3 linked regions of the Drosophila melanogaster genome follow. The protein of the gene in region 2 interacts with the protein of the main gene of each other region in a pairwise test. Each region holds a gene or a part of one and is shown on either strand. Other genes may lie near its edges.

The links.
Region 1: the proteins of vih (region 2) and lmgA interact in a two-hybrid assay, tested with the Drosophila melanogaster proteins (one study listed by BioGRID).
Region 3: the proteins of vih (region 2) and mr interact in a two-hybrid assay, tested with the Drosophila melanogaster proteins (one study listed by BioGRID).

The regions. Positions count from the first base shown.
Region 1 is NT_033779.5:8,524,499-8,530,087, forward strand, and holds lmgA (lemming A), read right to left. Parts: upstream 4,008-5,589; 5' UTR 3,812-4,007; coding exon 3,554-3,811; 3' UTR 3,462-3,553; coding exon of another isoform or gene 2,364-3,461; 3' UTR 501-2,363; downstream 1-500. Other genes in the region: Acer (Angiotensin-converting enzyme-related), read left to right, coding at 1-186, 245-282; lmgB (lemming B), read right to left, coding at 2,364-3,461.
Region 2 is NT_037436.4:12,501,910-12,506,705, reverse strand, and holds vih (vihar), read right to left. Parts: upstream 2,415-4,796; 5' UTR 2,161-2,414; coding exon 2,054-2,160; intron 1,988-2,053; coding exon 1,558-1,987; 3' UTR 897-1,557; downstream 1-896. Other genes in the region: CG10654 (uncharacterized protein), read left to right, coding at 219-896; CG10646 (uncharacterized protein), read left to right, coding at 2,879-3,049, 3,101-4,081; CG10681 (uncharacterized protein), read right to left, coding at 4,231-4,702, 4,759-4,796.
Region 3 is NT_033778.4:23,970,621-23,975,908, forward strand, and holds mr (morula), read left to right. Parts: upstream 1-1,810; 5' UTR 1,811-1,888; coding exon 1,889-1,951; intron 1,952-2,012; coding exon 2,013-2,529; intron 2,530-2,585; coding exon 2,586-2,824; intron 2,825-2,899; coding exon 2,900-3,080; intron 3,081-3,139; coding exon 3,140-3,841; intron 3,842-3,892; coding exon 3,893-4,156; intron 4,157-4,221; coding exon 4,222-4,463; intron 4,464-4,519; coding exon 4,520-4,720; 3' UTR 4,721-4,788; downstream 4,789-5,288. Other genes in the region: CG3065 (uncharacterized protein), read left to right, coding at 75-1,277; PPP1R15 (protein phosphatase 1 regulatory subunit 15), read right to left, coding at 5,258-5,288.

The sequences.
Region 1 (5,589 bases), on a different chromosome or scaffold from region 2:
GACGATCACTGAGCCAGTTCCTCTCAAAGGGCAACTCACGCCATTGGAAGGAGGTGTTGGAGGAGTTTACAGGCGAAACGGAAATGGACCCAGCCGCTCTGCTGGAGTACTTTGAACCGCTCTACCAGTGGCTTAAGCAGGAAAATAGCCGCTTGGGTGTGCCATTGGGCTGGGGACCAACAGACAGTGAGTAATTGAATTTAAACAGTAACTGCTAACTATAATTTACTGTATCCCTTTGCAGAAATCCCATCTGATTGCTGTGGAACGTTTAGCACCTAGACTGAGCCATCCCAAACTTGACTTGAGGTTATTAGAACCCGAAAACAAATATATTGGTTTAGTCTGTCATTAGGAACAAACAAAATAAACTTGATAAGAACGATAATTAATTCACAGCATATGCGCATTGATATTTAAATTGATATTTATTGTATCGATTCATTCGTATCGTTTCGTTTCGTTTTATTAATAAATTGCCATTACATAATACACTTTTTAACGATATCTCACCCACCAACTTTCGTCATAAACAAAATTGTATAAATTATAGCCTTTCGTGAATTGTGTTTCTATCTCAACCACAAAGTTGTATATGTTTCGGTCAGTGTAAATTTTCGATATCTTGCTTGCCTTTTTGTACACAGCAAAAGCGCTCAAAAGTTCATCTCAAATTTATTTGATGCTTCTAACCGTATGCTACTTTGAATAACTCGAATAAAATATGATCTTTAATGGAAGCTGTTGTTGTATACAACACAAAAAGTATAGAATACAATACACTATAAAAAATTATAGGTTACCAAACAGTTCTAAAGGTCTTGCTAAAACGGAAATCAAGTCATGACTTCTAAAATTTTCTGACCATCGAAAATGATAAGCTATTGCTTTCAAGAAAATGTATTTGTTAACTGGTTAACCTTACATTAAATCCTTATAGGTCATATTCCAGCCGAGATATTCAAAGCTTGATCAGTGATTACATTTTGCGACTTGTGCTGCAGTATATTTATGATTTCTGCTTGTATATCGATGCTTTTGTGATCTGGTTGGTATCAAATTTCCGCACATTTTGATTTGTAGTCTCTGTTGGAGGAGTGTGTATATGATAACGAAATAAAGAACAGTCAAATATGATCGTGTGGATTTTAATTCCAATCGTTTAACTTCATAGGGTGATTTAATTTTAGTAGATTATAAGGAATTTGTTTTGAGAAATAAAACAATCTAAGAACTAACAATAAATATTGGAAATTGTATCATTTTTGATTAGGTAATATATGTAAATCTGTTTTCATTTCGCAATCTCCCGCTTTATGCTTGTGATATGGGAGATACCGATGGTATCTACTGCATTTTCATCAATGTAACTGTTACTTGGTAAAAATTGTATATGTATTTAGAATATAAATATTATATGCAATGCGTTCCACATTTACAAGGCAGTTATCCATGATTGCGGAGTAAGATTTTTGAACAAATTGGAAAAATATACAACCGAAACTAGTTTAAAATGGTTTTCTGCTTCGCGGAACATGCAACTGACTTATAGATCTGAAACGCACTGCACAACTGCTCGGGGGATTTGCTCCAATACTTGAGCTTTACATATATATGCCTAGTTTTTTTTGTTGTTGTATTTTTAATGATAGGATTATTGGACTAACAGTAAGATCAGCTAGATTTTGCTTTTGAGATGCAGATACATGTTCGTAATATATAATTTTCCAATCGATACGCCATTACGAAACTAAGTCTTAACAGGGCTATAAAATCAATCCAGATATTCATATGTATAGGCCAAGAGTTTAGTTTTGGTTAGTGCTACATGAGTTGGAACAATTTGATTTAGTTTTTGTTGTTGGATAGTATGCATTCTAACAAAACATTTCAGAGTCAACGCAAATAATATAACTAGATCTATGAATTCGATGCGGAATTTCAAGCATTTTAGATTTATGTTTATACAATTTGAGTAATACATAGATGCATATAAGGATCTTATCCTTTACTACTTAGCGATTATTATTGAATACAAATTTTTTGTGTTTATTATTTAATATTAAACGTGAAAAGTGGTACGCTTACATTCAAAGACATTTTCATCGTTTTGCAAAAAACATTTATAAACCGTTCATATGTTTCGAGATTCAATATCAAGAACGAGGGACCATGGCAAGCTTTATGAGTTGATAGTTGAGTTGATAGAGTGAGTGTTGTGTGTGTGGGATCTTTCTGCACTTGAATTTGAATTGACTCTTGAAGAAATGTCGTCTAATTGACCCTTTCCGAAGTGTTGGCAGCGGCTGCTATGTAAATCTGCTTATGTTCTTGAACTTGGCTTAGTCCAAGAACGGGTTTTGTCATACAGGTCGCGAATGGTGGGTATGTTGGGGATGTTGGTGTGAATGTGGATGCGGCTGGGTGACACTGCTGATGCTGTGGTTACTGCTGCTGGTGCTCGCTCCGCCTCCACCACCGCCGCCCGCCTTTTGCCTTGTGGGTGGCGGCGGTGGCGGTGCCTGTCTCATGCGCTGCTGCAGGATGCGCGGCAACTGTGGATGCGCCTTGTGCTGAGCTGGTGGTGCGGGTGGTGGCGCTGGCCTCTGATGGTAGTGGTTAGCCGATTGCGACTGTTGCTGTTGTTGCTGCTGCACTTGTTGGTGCTTCCCCATCGAGGAGGCAGCGGATGAGGAGCCAGAGGCTCCTGATGTGGAGCTAGTTGAGGCGTGGGAAGTGGTCGAGCCAGTGGCCAGTTTTGTGGGCAGTCCTCCGCTGGCTGCCGGCGAGGCCATGGCCCTGGAATTCACAACTCCCGCACTCCCAGCTCCGGCAGTATCTGTCATCTTAGGCAAGGCTACTGGCGCATAGGAGCCATCGTCCTCTTCGTCGGAGCTCAAGGAATTCGCATCCGATGGAGTACGGGACCTCGAGGGCGGCGACAGTGCGTCCTGCTCTTGCAGGAACACACGGAATCCCTGTATCGACTCGTTTAGCGCCCACAGCTGGGACAGCAGCGACAGATCCAACTGCCTCAGACCGTACATCTCCCGTCGCAGAATGGCCAACTGGTTGTCGATGGTCGACGAGGTGGCTCCAGTGCTGCTCGAGCTGTTAGTGGGTGTGTGAACAGCCCCAGCGCTGTGGGTGCTGGAAGCGCGACTGTGCACAGATTCCCGATCACTGAGCGACTCCTGCGTGGACGAAAGACTACCGTGCCGCTGGCTGTGTCCGTGTCCATTGTAGCTACGATTTCGTGATGCCGCCGACGAGGAGGTGGAGGGGCCCAGGTATAGTTCTCCGGCGGCTACGGTCAGTGCGTTAACACTGGACGCCGGCGAGGCTGTGCGGGGATGGGGGCCAATGGCCACAGGAGCCGCCGTAGCGGCGCTCAGACTTTTTGGCAGTGGCGGCAGACCCGTCAAGTGCGGCTGGGCATCGTTGCTGCTGTTCTCCATCATTTGATAAAGCTTACTATGTCTCTACGGTTTCTTCTTACTGCTGATCCTGATCCTCACGGGTATTTAGTAACTAGAACTATAACGCGGGCTTCTTAATGCACGTTGAACTTCCAGCTCTGGCGGCACATGGGGCACTGTTTGTTCAACGGTTGCAGGTTCAGCCACTTGACGATGCAGTGCATGTGGAAGCAATGAGAGCATACACCCCACACCAGCGGGCAGTCGTCACCGGGCAGAGCGCACTCCGGGCAGGTGCTCTCGAAGGACATGCGACAGATACCGCAGTTCTCGTCATTCGCTATCCAACGCCAAGTTGCAACTCCCGTCCATGACTTGATTGTCACTTTCATTTTGCGCACATTTGTCTCACACGGCAATTGTCTGGTTTGTCGCCGCTTTGCGTTGCACGGAATACGGCTCCTTTGGCCAATGAAGCGGGTGTTTTTCGACCGTTTCCGAATGTTTTTTGCAAAATATTGCCTTTTTTCTTTAGTTAGGCTGCTGAAAATAGGTCGATAGGTCCGATTATCGATTGGCCGATTGGACTTAGAGATGGACGCTGTGTAGATGGAGTTAAGCCGTCGGACAAGCAGTGCGACTTGGGATGACCTGTTATAGTAAACGATATATTTTTATTTATTGTATATTAGTATAGTATTGATTATTGAATATTGTAACAAAGTACATTTGATGTGTTCTTAGTGATATTTATTGATCATAGACATGGGCATTTGTAAGCAGTTCATAGAGCTATCGATTTTATATATACATCTACCGTACTTTAAAAAGATATCGATCCTTGGCGGGAGTATTCAACTTTGGTTTGTTTATAAGAAATCATAGATAAAGTACTATTTGAAACAATCAGGTGAATTAAAAACCTTTCTGCTATAGTTAAAATAAGTCATTCCTTGTCGGATAAGTAATAGTTGAACAGTAGTATTTTCAATATCAAGGCCACGTTCTCGAAGCCGCTGGGCCATCAATTACAATTTTCGGCAATGACAGGTCGGAACCCAGGTCAGATCTTTAATCAGCAATGCGAGCGAATCGTGTCTGAAACAACTTCCGAAAGCTTATGCTCATGCTCCATCGGATTGGACGAGGCTTTAGGGGGGTGCTGCCTTGTGTTGTTTTGTTGTCGGGGGCTGATGGAGTTGTTGTCTCCGGTTTATTCGCATTCAGTTAGCCGACGATTGTTGAACCCGACAGACGTGCGCGCAGCTCGATCGATCGATCGTCGAGCTTTACCCGTTTTTCCCACTGTGTTTTTTCGACAATTTCGCGTGCAAAGCGTGATCATTATTGCTCAAAAATTGCTTTTGTGTTTTGTCCAAGTGTGACGCAGTTTTTAGCAAAGGTTCTGTGGAACTGCGAACGAGATCAGCATATAATAAAAAAAACCCTTGTGAGTGAAAAGAAAGTGCCTGCGAAACGGAGTTGATTTAGAGTTGTGTACTAATCGAAAGGTGCCGCTGCGAAGTGAACGATCTTGTGAGAGTGAAATTAAATCAAAACACAAAAAGTGAAGTTCAACAGCAGAGCGTTGTTTAAGAACCTGTAATTGAAAACGCACTTGAATACACACACCCATACAGGCAAGAATAATATTAAAAATAAGCCCAATAATGCGCCATACAACACGTTGTTGACCCTGAGCCAGAGCCTCGTGATTTTCCAAGAACAAGTAAACACCCCTCACAACCCACCTATACAAAAAAAAAAACCACTCGATGATAGCAATTATTTAGCATAAGAATTTATGTTGCAGTTTATTGAACTCTTTGTGCCGCCTGTTTCTGGAAAAAACCGTTTGCGCCTTGCAGGGAGATTCTGCTACTTGACTTGGTGTTCCGGTTTTTGGTCACGCCCGGGATTTTCTCGAATTCTGCGAATCACTTACATACAGTGTACCAATAAGGCATCCATAAAAAACATGATGTGTTTGTTTGTGAACATCAGTTTTCATTGCAATTGCAATGCGAAATTTCAAATCGATATTTGCGATTTATTTCACTTTGAATTGGCTTGCCTTGTCATGTGCCTCGTCCATAAAATGTGGCTAATAAACAAACAATTATGAAATGACGGATTTTTTAAACTCTTTAGCGCCTTAGATACGAGTCCA
Region 2 (4,796 bases):
TTCCACTTTAAAGTAATGAGTAAACATAATGTAATTCCTACCCTTACTACAAATTACTTAACTCAACCAAAAGCAGTTTGTTTTTATATGCTTAGACCCTTTTTACATAAAAAATTCCTTCATAATAGATATGTACAGAATTCCCACAAAAAAAAAAAAAAACCACCACCATTCAGTTTGCTATGGTAATTAAATATATAATACCCTAAATTTTCCAGGAGGAAGTCTACGTAATAGAGGACGAGTCAGCCAAACAGGATCTGGGCCAGGAGAAGCTATCCATTTCTAGCAAGTTGCTGGGTGCCAGAAAACGACGAGGAGTGCGACACACCCTCGAGTGCCGAATTTGCCACCGTGGCTTCTACAAACCGTCGCTGCTGGAGGCCCATATGCAGCAGCATGAGGGTCTGAGACCGTATACCTGCGTCCATTGTGCCAAGAGCTATGCCCGGGCCAATCTGCTGGAGTCGCACCTGCGGCAGATGCATAACAATGCCGACGCTGCGCGGATCATCTATGCCTGTCCGAGCTGCAACAAGGTGTACACAGCGAACCGAAGTCTCAAATATCACATGAGAAGGACGCACGAAAGGTATCACGAGTCAGAGTCCCCGGATGCGCGGCACATTTGTGAGGAGTGTGGCAAGTGCTTTGCGCGAAAGGCACATCTAACGCGCCACAAGATGGTCCATGGTAGCGTTGAGGGTCGGAGATACTGCTGCGAATGCTGCGATCGCAGATTCTACACCAAGGAGAACATGGTGGATCATCTGCTGCGCAAGCACGGCAATAAGAATCTGCTGCTCAGATGCAGAAAATGCGGACGCATTTTCCAGAACAGCGTGGAGCTCAACGCTCACGGGAGGAAACACAAAGCGATGGATGTAGTTCAATAATTCGTTTTATTTGTGGTTTCAATAACATCAAGCTAACACAACTGTTACAATGATTCGAATTACTTGGAATTTTGTTATGCCAGTATTGTGGGAGAATGCCGCATAATTGGAGATACTAAGACGACGCGAATGGTTGACGAATCGATGAGGCTGCCCTAAAATTAGCTAACATTCACATAATGGCCGGCGCAGCAGCATAGTCGCTTAAAAATCATCAGTACAAAAAAATGGCGATGGCGATGGCGCGCACTCGCAGTAGTTCTCAAAAAAGTAATCATGCGTATATAAAACAATTAACTAAAATTTATCCTTAAGCTTAAAGAACGGATGACAGTTTTAAAATTACATTACCAATACATTCATTTATCATTAATTTGTAGGGAGGAGGAAAGAAATGAGAATAAAAACCAGATTATCCGTCAATCGATCGACAATTACATAAGAAACGCACGGGGTCTTTTGCCAAATGAACTATCAGCATTGAACGTTGTTGAAATTGATCTGGTGATCCACTTAACTGATGGTACTGTGTTACGGTGGTGATTGATGATTGGTTTGTTGGTTGGCAGTAGGTCTTCGGATGAGTGGAGTTGCTTGCACTATATGTAAATAAATACGCCGCAATATGAGCATAGGATATATGACAACGAATTGCCAAACTCTAGGTGTCCTTGTGCTTCTCGTAGAAGGCGTCTAGATATTTTTTGTACTCCTTTTGGTCATTCCACATCATCGCGGCCTGCGCATTCAGTGGACTCTCGTTGTTCGGTTCGCCCAGCAGGGATTGTATGGACAGCAGAATGGTGCGCACATCGTACAGGGCCGACCATTTGTCCTTCAGTATGTCCAAACAGATGGCGCCCTGCAGATCAACATTGGGATGGAAGCAGGACGTCAGGAACTTCACCACGGGTGCTGCATACGGATAGGAATTGGGAAAATCCAGTGACAAACGATACGTTTGCCCCGAATACACCGTGTTCCGTGGACCCGCTATGGTGCCCACCCACTTGAAGATGTTCTCGCCGTCCGGAAACGCTGAGATGCCCCTCTCGTTGGCCATCATCAGGTTCATCAGTTCCTTGTGCAGTCTGTGGGTGAGTGTGAGTGTGTGTGTATATTGGCGGATTATCTAGGCTGCACCATGTGCTACTCACCTTTTGCTCACGGCGTGATTGTCTTTCACGGGCATGGAGTCATCGCTGTGCTTGCTGCCGCCGCCGCCTGCTCCACCACTTTGCTCGGGGCTGATATTCTGCGCCATGACTATATATCTACGTCTATATATGTAGGATGCTAGTGCTATCCGCTGTTTGGCTTTCAGTATGTGCGTGTAATTTAGCGCGCTTCGTGGCGGTCGGGTTTTCGATTCTCAATTGTGATTATATGTACTGTATAGTGGAAATTTAGTTTGATCGGTCGGAATACGCGTCTGTTGCTTTTTCAGATATTTTTTTTTTCACTTTTGTGTGAAAACAAAATGGAAGGAGAACGAGAAGAAACTGTGTTTGGGCACAGGGTTGTATTTCATTTATTTTTGGGGGGAGTCGATACGCTCTCTTGGCGTGGTCGAACGGTCACACTGGCCGAGAGATAACGGAAAATGTTTCAAAGGTAAGTAAAGATTATAAACGTATTAAGCTTAATACTATAATTAGCTTACTATTCCAAGTATGTATAATTATTACACGTTTAAAAGGCATAACGTTAAGTGTAACCAAATTATATCAATGGATTTTGAATACCAATATTATTTATTTTATATTTTGAGCTTAATATATTAAATCACATATATTTAAGCCTCTTTATATATGTAAATATTTTAATTTTATTAAAATAAATTATATATTGTTTTGTAATATGATCGAGGGCTGCCACCTTGTGATAAATGCTTACCAACACTTTTAGGTACGCCGTTTAGTGTACGTAAGTTGCGTACCTAGATATCCAGCGAAATCAAAACATTGAGTAAATCGTGGAAAATGGATGAAAATAGCTTAATCTACGGACTCGAACTGCAGGCGCGGGCTTTAACACCTCAGTACGGAGAGAGCAACGATGTGTGCTTCTTCATAGCCACCAACTCCTTGAAGCCCACCAATCAGGTTCACTTAATCCAGTACGAGGAGGAGCAGGGATCCGTGCAATCAAAGGTGAATATCTGGGATGATCAAAGTATGAGCTAAACATACAACTTTGAACAGGTCTTTGAGCACGCCCTGGGTGAAGTTTGGAAACTAAATAGTTGTCCGCGTAATCCTCGCCTGCTGGCCTCCGTCTACAATGTACAAAAGGGAGCACAAGTGCTGACCAAAGCGGCTCTGTTTACGCTGCCCGAGAATCTCAATCCCGATCCGGAGCAGCTGAAGTCAGAGTACCTGCCGTGGGAGCAGGTTGAGGTCCTGGATACCGAAGCACTGGGCGAACGTGTGAAGACCATCGAATTCCATCCCAACCAGGACACACTCGCCTGTGTGGTGGACAACAAGGTGGCTGTGATGCAGCGGGCCGAGTCCTCTACTCGCGTGGTGGCCGAGGTGCCGGCCAGTGGTTCATCCAGTGGATCTGCAAAGCACACACAGCATTTCACCAGCGGCAAGTGGTCGCATCATCATCAGGGCCACCAGTTTCTCACCCTCCAGGATGGCAATCTAAGTGCCTACGATGTGCGGGATACACAGCATTGTGCCTGGAGCATCAACGATGCGCATGGTCAAATGGTCCGTGACCTGGACTGCAATCCCAACAAGCAGTGCCATTTGGTCACCGGCGGTGACGATGGCTACTTGAGGATCTGGGACTGTCGCATGCCCAAGGCTCCCGTTTTCGAGCGCTCCGATCATTCGCATTGGGTCTGGTGCGTTCGCTTCAACACATTCCACGACCAACTGATCCTCTCCAGCTCCAGTGACTGCAAGGTGCTGCTCACGTGTGCGGGATCGGTTAGTTCGGAGACGCAGGTTCAGGCTGGACTAGATGAGTCCAACTTCAGTGGTGCCGATGCCGAGGAGAGGCACAAACTCTTGCCAGATGGTCTGCTGCAGACCTTCGATCAGCACGAGGACTCCGTTTACTGCGCGGAGTGGAGCAATGTGGATCCGTGGATCTTTGCTTCGCTCAGCTACGATGGTCGCGTCATAATCTCAAAGGTGCCCAAGCAGTACAAGTACCAGATTATATTTTAAGCCATTAGTTTCTTAAATTATTACGCATATTTCATTTAAATCTAACTAAACGAATTGTGTCCTTGTATGTAGTAGCAGGTTATACAAATATTAAACCAATAAGTTATTATATGAAGATAAATATATCGAGGGACTAAAGCTAATTAGGCTTAACCTGTATCCTCGGATGTGCAGTCGGAGGAATCATTGGGATTGGCAGTTTCCACGGAACAAACTCGCTTGATCAGCTCGTTTTCGATCTCCACAGTGCCATTGTCCACTGCCTCCTCCATCTGCACGTACTCTATGGTGGCGGCACTTTTCTTGGTGGATAGGACAGGTTTTGCGGCAGCAGGAGCAGGTGTTTCTGCAGTCTTTTTAGCCTGGGCTTCCGTATCATCCTCGGCTTCCTCAGCCAAACTGCTACGCTGCGGCTGAACTTCGGCGTAAATGGCGGGAAACTGCGACTGTAGCTTCTGCTTGATGATCCGTATCTTGCGGAATATGTAATCCAGATCCTTCTTCATTTCGCTCAGGCATTTCACGTGTCTTTTGAAATCCTCGCTGGCACTTTTCAAACGACTCTGCGATAAGGCATTGCAGTTGAGCAGCATCTCGTTGGTTTTCTCAAAGCGTTGCAGCCTGTGGGATATATTTTGGATGTTTATTATAATCTCTGGTTAAATGAAATGGCTTACATTTGCTTTTGAGCCCGTATCATGGTCTCCACATCGCC
Region 3 (5,288 bases), on a different chromosome or scaffold from region 2:
TGGCAGTAAAGTACCTCCACTCTCGATTCCAGACATACCGGATAGGGCGCTAGCGAGCCCCAAACGTAAGCACAATGTCACAAGTAATACCAAACACGCCCACACCCCAAATGCTGACGACATCAACGCCCATAGAACCCATGAAACCACCACCAGCGTTTCCCACGATGAGCGGCGCAAACATACACGAGCAGGCGTCCGATATGATACTGCGGGCCTCGACGATTTTCGAGGACGTCAAGCACGACGAGGCGAATGTGGAGAATGTGCCCCATCACGGAGTTGAGACTGAGCCTGAGGACGACTCGCACTACGGCGGGAACGGCAACTCTAAGATCCGCATAATGCCCAGTGTGAAGCTAATGGCCACGACGCTCGCCTCCGATCCCAAGCGCAAGTTCGTCTGCCCGTATGACAACTGTACAAAGAGCTACGGCAAGAGCTCCCACCTGCGGTCCCACCTCACCTGGCACACGGGCATCAAGCCCTTCGTCTGCAGCGAGCCCAAGTGCGGCAAGGGATTCACGCGCTCCGATGAGCTCAACCGGCACCTCCGGACGCACACCGGCGAGAAGCCCTTCGAGTGCATCCAGTGCACCAAGAAGTTTTCCCGCAGCGACCACCTCACCAAGCACCTAGCTACCCACGACCGCCAGCTAAAGGGCAGCACCCCGAAGCGAACAGTACCGAGCAGCAGTGGTGGAGTCCGGCTCAAGCCCCCGAAGAAGCAGATTCATTCGGAGTCGGACTCGGGCTTCCACTTCATGGCCGCCATGGTTGGTTGCGGGGAGCCGAGCATGAAGCACCACCACCAGCAGCAGCAGCATAACCAGCACCAGCAGCCCGTGAGCATTATCGACATCCACCACAAGCCGATAAAGATTAAGCTGGAACGGCCGGAGCACAGCGACAAGTACCAGATCGTATCTCCTGAACACCAGATGGATAACCATGGCCACAACCAGAGCCAGTTGCCCGATTTCCTTAACCAGGCGAAGCCCGAGGTAAAATACGAACCGACCGAAGAAATTGTAAATACCCTCTCTCAGCTACCGCCGGCGGACGGACCCGGCACGTATGGGATGCCCCAGTTCGTTCAGGATCGGCCTTTCTACTGCCGGCAGTGTGAGAAGCGGTTCAAGCGGCAGGACGACCTCAACCGACACATACGAACGCACACCGGGGAGAAGCCCTACGCCTGTCAGCAGTGCTGTCGCCGGTTTGTGCGGAGCGACCACTTGAAAAAGCATCAGCAGACGCATTTGAAGATACGATAGTTTCATAGTTACTCCTTACTCCTTAAGTCGCTAGCCATTGGCATCCGCATCCAATCGATATTGGCTACCACACGGGCGTGTGTCGGGTGACGCACACAGTACAATAAAATTAAATAAATTCGCAATCTAACTATATTCCTATGCAAGATCAGCGCCGGCTCTCAAATCTCAATTTGTATGTATGTATGTAAATAAGTCGTATGCAATTTAATTTTAGCTCTAACTGTTTGTGTTTGCCGGAACGTGAAGACATACATCTGTATTTCTGAAACTCTTGCTGTTTCTTATTTTCTGGCTACTAAGCTCCCCGTATCTATTAATATAATTTATTTTAGTAAAACTGTTATTTATATTTATGGGCTAATTGATGGGGAACTGATAGTTCATCAGGATCAGGACTCGATCCAGTTTGAAATTTGGAATATGATTAATAATGGCCTATAAGAATGAATAATAGATATATGTATAATTTCTGATAAATCAAAGATTCATCGACTATCGGTTCGGTTGATAGAATCGACTTATCGATAACAGCATTATCATCACCATTGGCGTTTGATTCAGAGTTTCAAGCAATGTTTTGCACTGTTTAAAATAATTACACACAAGCGATGTGCGACTTTGACGCTTTGTGGGCGGATGTACTGAGAATCTTTCCGGTTTTGGGTGGAGCGGTAGGTTTATTCCTTCGGTTCAGTAATAGGGATTGGCGCTAGCACTCAGAAACTCTTACAGAACGCTGTATCCAATGATCCGGTTGAGGAGAATGTATTCCAAAATGTTCGCCAGCACCTGATGGTGTTGGGCAGCATAGACACCTTCGCGGCGGTTGTGGACCTGGAAATCCAGTCGACTATTCGGAATGTCCTGGTGCCCAAGTTCTGGAAGCACATCCACGACGGCTTGGTCTCGTCTAAATTGCAGGGCTGGATTAACGACCAAGCTCTGGCCATAGAAGCACTGCCCGATAAGAACGGACTGTTCACCCAGTTCATCGACGCCATCAATGAGCTGCATGACAGCTTTCAGAGCCTGATGCAGGTGAAGCCCAGGCTGATCCAGCTAGTTGGAGCTGAGACAAAGCCCACCGCAAAGACGGTGAAGCTCATGCAGGAGGAAGGCATTAAGAACTGCTTAAGGGACTGCTTGCTGGCTCAACTGCCACCCAATTTCAGTGTGGTCGTTGGGGCCTTCTACTGGGTGCACTTTAAGCTCTTCACCAAGGCCTCAAATCTCGCATTGACCACAGTTGGTATGTATCCGATACATACTCCTGTGGTTCCCATGCTCACTTGCTTTCCCCTTCAGACTCTGATGTTTTCGATGAGCTCCTCTGCGTTGGCTGCAACTTCGAAGCAGAGCAATGCTGCTGCCAAAGGCTGACGGATATGGTTAACAAGACAAACATGAAGCTCTTCGAGATGAACCTCATTGACCGTCTAACTGGGAGTGCTTTAACCGCTCTCATCAAGCTTAAAATCAAGGAGCACATCAGCGATACATGCATGGGAATCTTCGACAGAAGTCATCTTAAGCAACTGGAAACTGTAAGTTGAATGGGAATACCTTCTGTTGTCATAAATAAACTACTTAAGTAACTCATTTATTACCTACCTTTGCAGTGGCTATCGGATGTCATAATGTCCTGGCTCACAAACATATTCACGGAATGGAAGTCTAAGGATAGCATAAGCGATATCGAAGTTCCCGAGTCTGTAAAATCCTTCAAAGTCAAACTGACTTACTTTATGTACGAAACGTTTGCCCAAAGCGTTATTGGTCAGTTCTTCAGCATTATAATTGGTATGTGCCCGTAGATTCAGCCAAGAGTCCCCCAACTACATGTATTTATTTGTAAACAGACTATCCCGATTCCATTCCGGCTATAGATGACTTAAAGATTTGCATGGAGAAAATAGATATGCGAGTCTACCTCACTGAATCCCTTAGGAACTCGCTAGAGGCAAGGATTCTGCATCCTGGAGTCAACACCATGGACATATTAACGGGTTACGTGGCAGCCATCAAAGCTATTCGCCATCTGGATAGTACCGGAGTCATCTTAGAGATGGTAACTGCTCCAATCAAAGATTACCTGCGGAAACGAAACGACACAGTGCGACGCGTAGTCACTGGGTTGACTGAAGAGGGGCCCACGGACTTATCCGAGGAACTCGCCAAGGGAGAAACAATTAAGGAATGCAAGGACTCGGGTACCGATGAGTTCAGCAACTGGGAAAATTGGCAACCCGATCCGTTTGGTATAGATGCCAGCATTATGCAGTACAACAGCTCGCGGAAGATGAGATCGGCCGACATTATATCGATGGTTGTAGACATATACGGCAGTAAGGAGTTGTTTATGACAGAGTATCGCAATCTAATGGCGGACAGACTGCTGGCCCAGTTAGATTTTAATTCCGAAAAAGAAATTCGAAATCTGGAACTGCTGAAAATCCGCTTTGGCGAATCGCTGCTGCACAGCTGCGAGGTGATGTTGAAAGACGTAACCGACTCCAAGCGAATTAACGCGCACATCCACAGCGATGGCGACCGAACTGAAAGTGAGTTACTTTTAATTTTCAAAATGCTTTAACGAAACCATCTCATTTTAGATCAGTTGTTCGACATCTCCTCGCTGATTGTTTCTGCTCAGTTTTGGCCGTCCTTCAATAAAGAAAGCCTCCAACTTCCTGAGGAGATTGAGAATGAGTTCAAGAAGTACACCAAGGCCTACGAGGCATACAAGGGCAACCGTACGCTCAACTGGCGTACAGTGACTGGCCGTGTAAATATTGAAATCGAGATCGGTGACCGGACCATGGAAATGGTTGTGAGCCCCATTTTGGCGGTTATTATATACCACTTTCAAACTAAGAGTACGTGTTTACAGGGCAGTCAAGTTTTACAGTTTTACAACCGCATGGTCATATTTTTTTTTCAGATGAATGGACTATCGAGGATCTTAGTTCCATTACGAAAGTTCCAGCGTCTGCACTGCGGCGTCGTCTGAGTTTTTGGCAAAACCACGGATTGATCTCGGAAACGACACCCGGAATATTCACGCTGCTGGAAAAGGAATCGGAGAAGTCTCAGTACGAGGACATGAGTCTGGCAGAAGCTGACGAAGAGGATTTGGAATCCGCAATGGCTTCTGCCAGCGATCAAAGGGAAGAAGAACTCCAAGTAAGTGCCTTCAACTGTTCCTAATTCCGGCTTTTTCTTATACAATTATGCCGCAGGTTTTTTGGTCCTATATTGTTGGAATGCTCACGAATCTTGACTCCATGCCAATTGACCGAATCCACCAGATGCTGAAGCTGTTCGCCTCCCACAGCGGCGGAGTGGAGTTTACTCAGGATGAGCTGAAACACTTTCTCCAGCGAAAAGTCAGGGAGCACAAGCTAATATTCTCGGGTGGAGTTTACCAATTGGCCAAATAAGTTTCGGAGATCCAAAACCAAGTTGCAAACGACTGAAGGAATCATGAAATAAATAATGAATTAACGCGATAACATTTATGAAATTTACTGCTCCATGTTAAACGTACCTATTTTTTCAAACTGCCGTCTTATCTGTTTCTATTCAGAGCTTATCTCTCACCCACGTACACACAAAGTCTTTACCCAAACTTGTTTGGCTTGGGAATTTGGAACACAATGCAAGCAATCTTATGTGAAAAGAAGAACACACAGTAAAATACGTCTATTGCTTAATTTATTTCAAGTTATATTAAGGTATATGCTAATCCCGTTATCAACAAATTCAAACTTCTTAGGGCTCTAAAACTAAAGGCGAAGAAAAGTGTACGTGGTTTTGATATACTTTACAGGTTAAACAGTTTTTGGCTTCATAAAATCAATCACGAACGCAGTGGCTAAATCGATCACTTTATACACGCAAACAACTTGGAATTTAATGCTGTAATCGTTCTAAACTGTAATCTGTACATCAAAAGTTACTTCAGGTATGCGGACCAGCTAGTCCTCGTGCAAGAATCGAGCTTGGTAG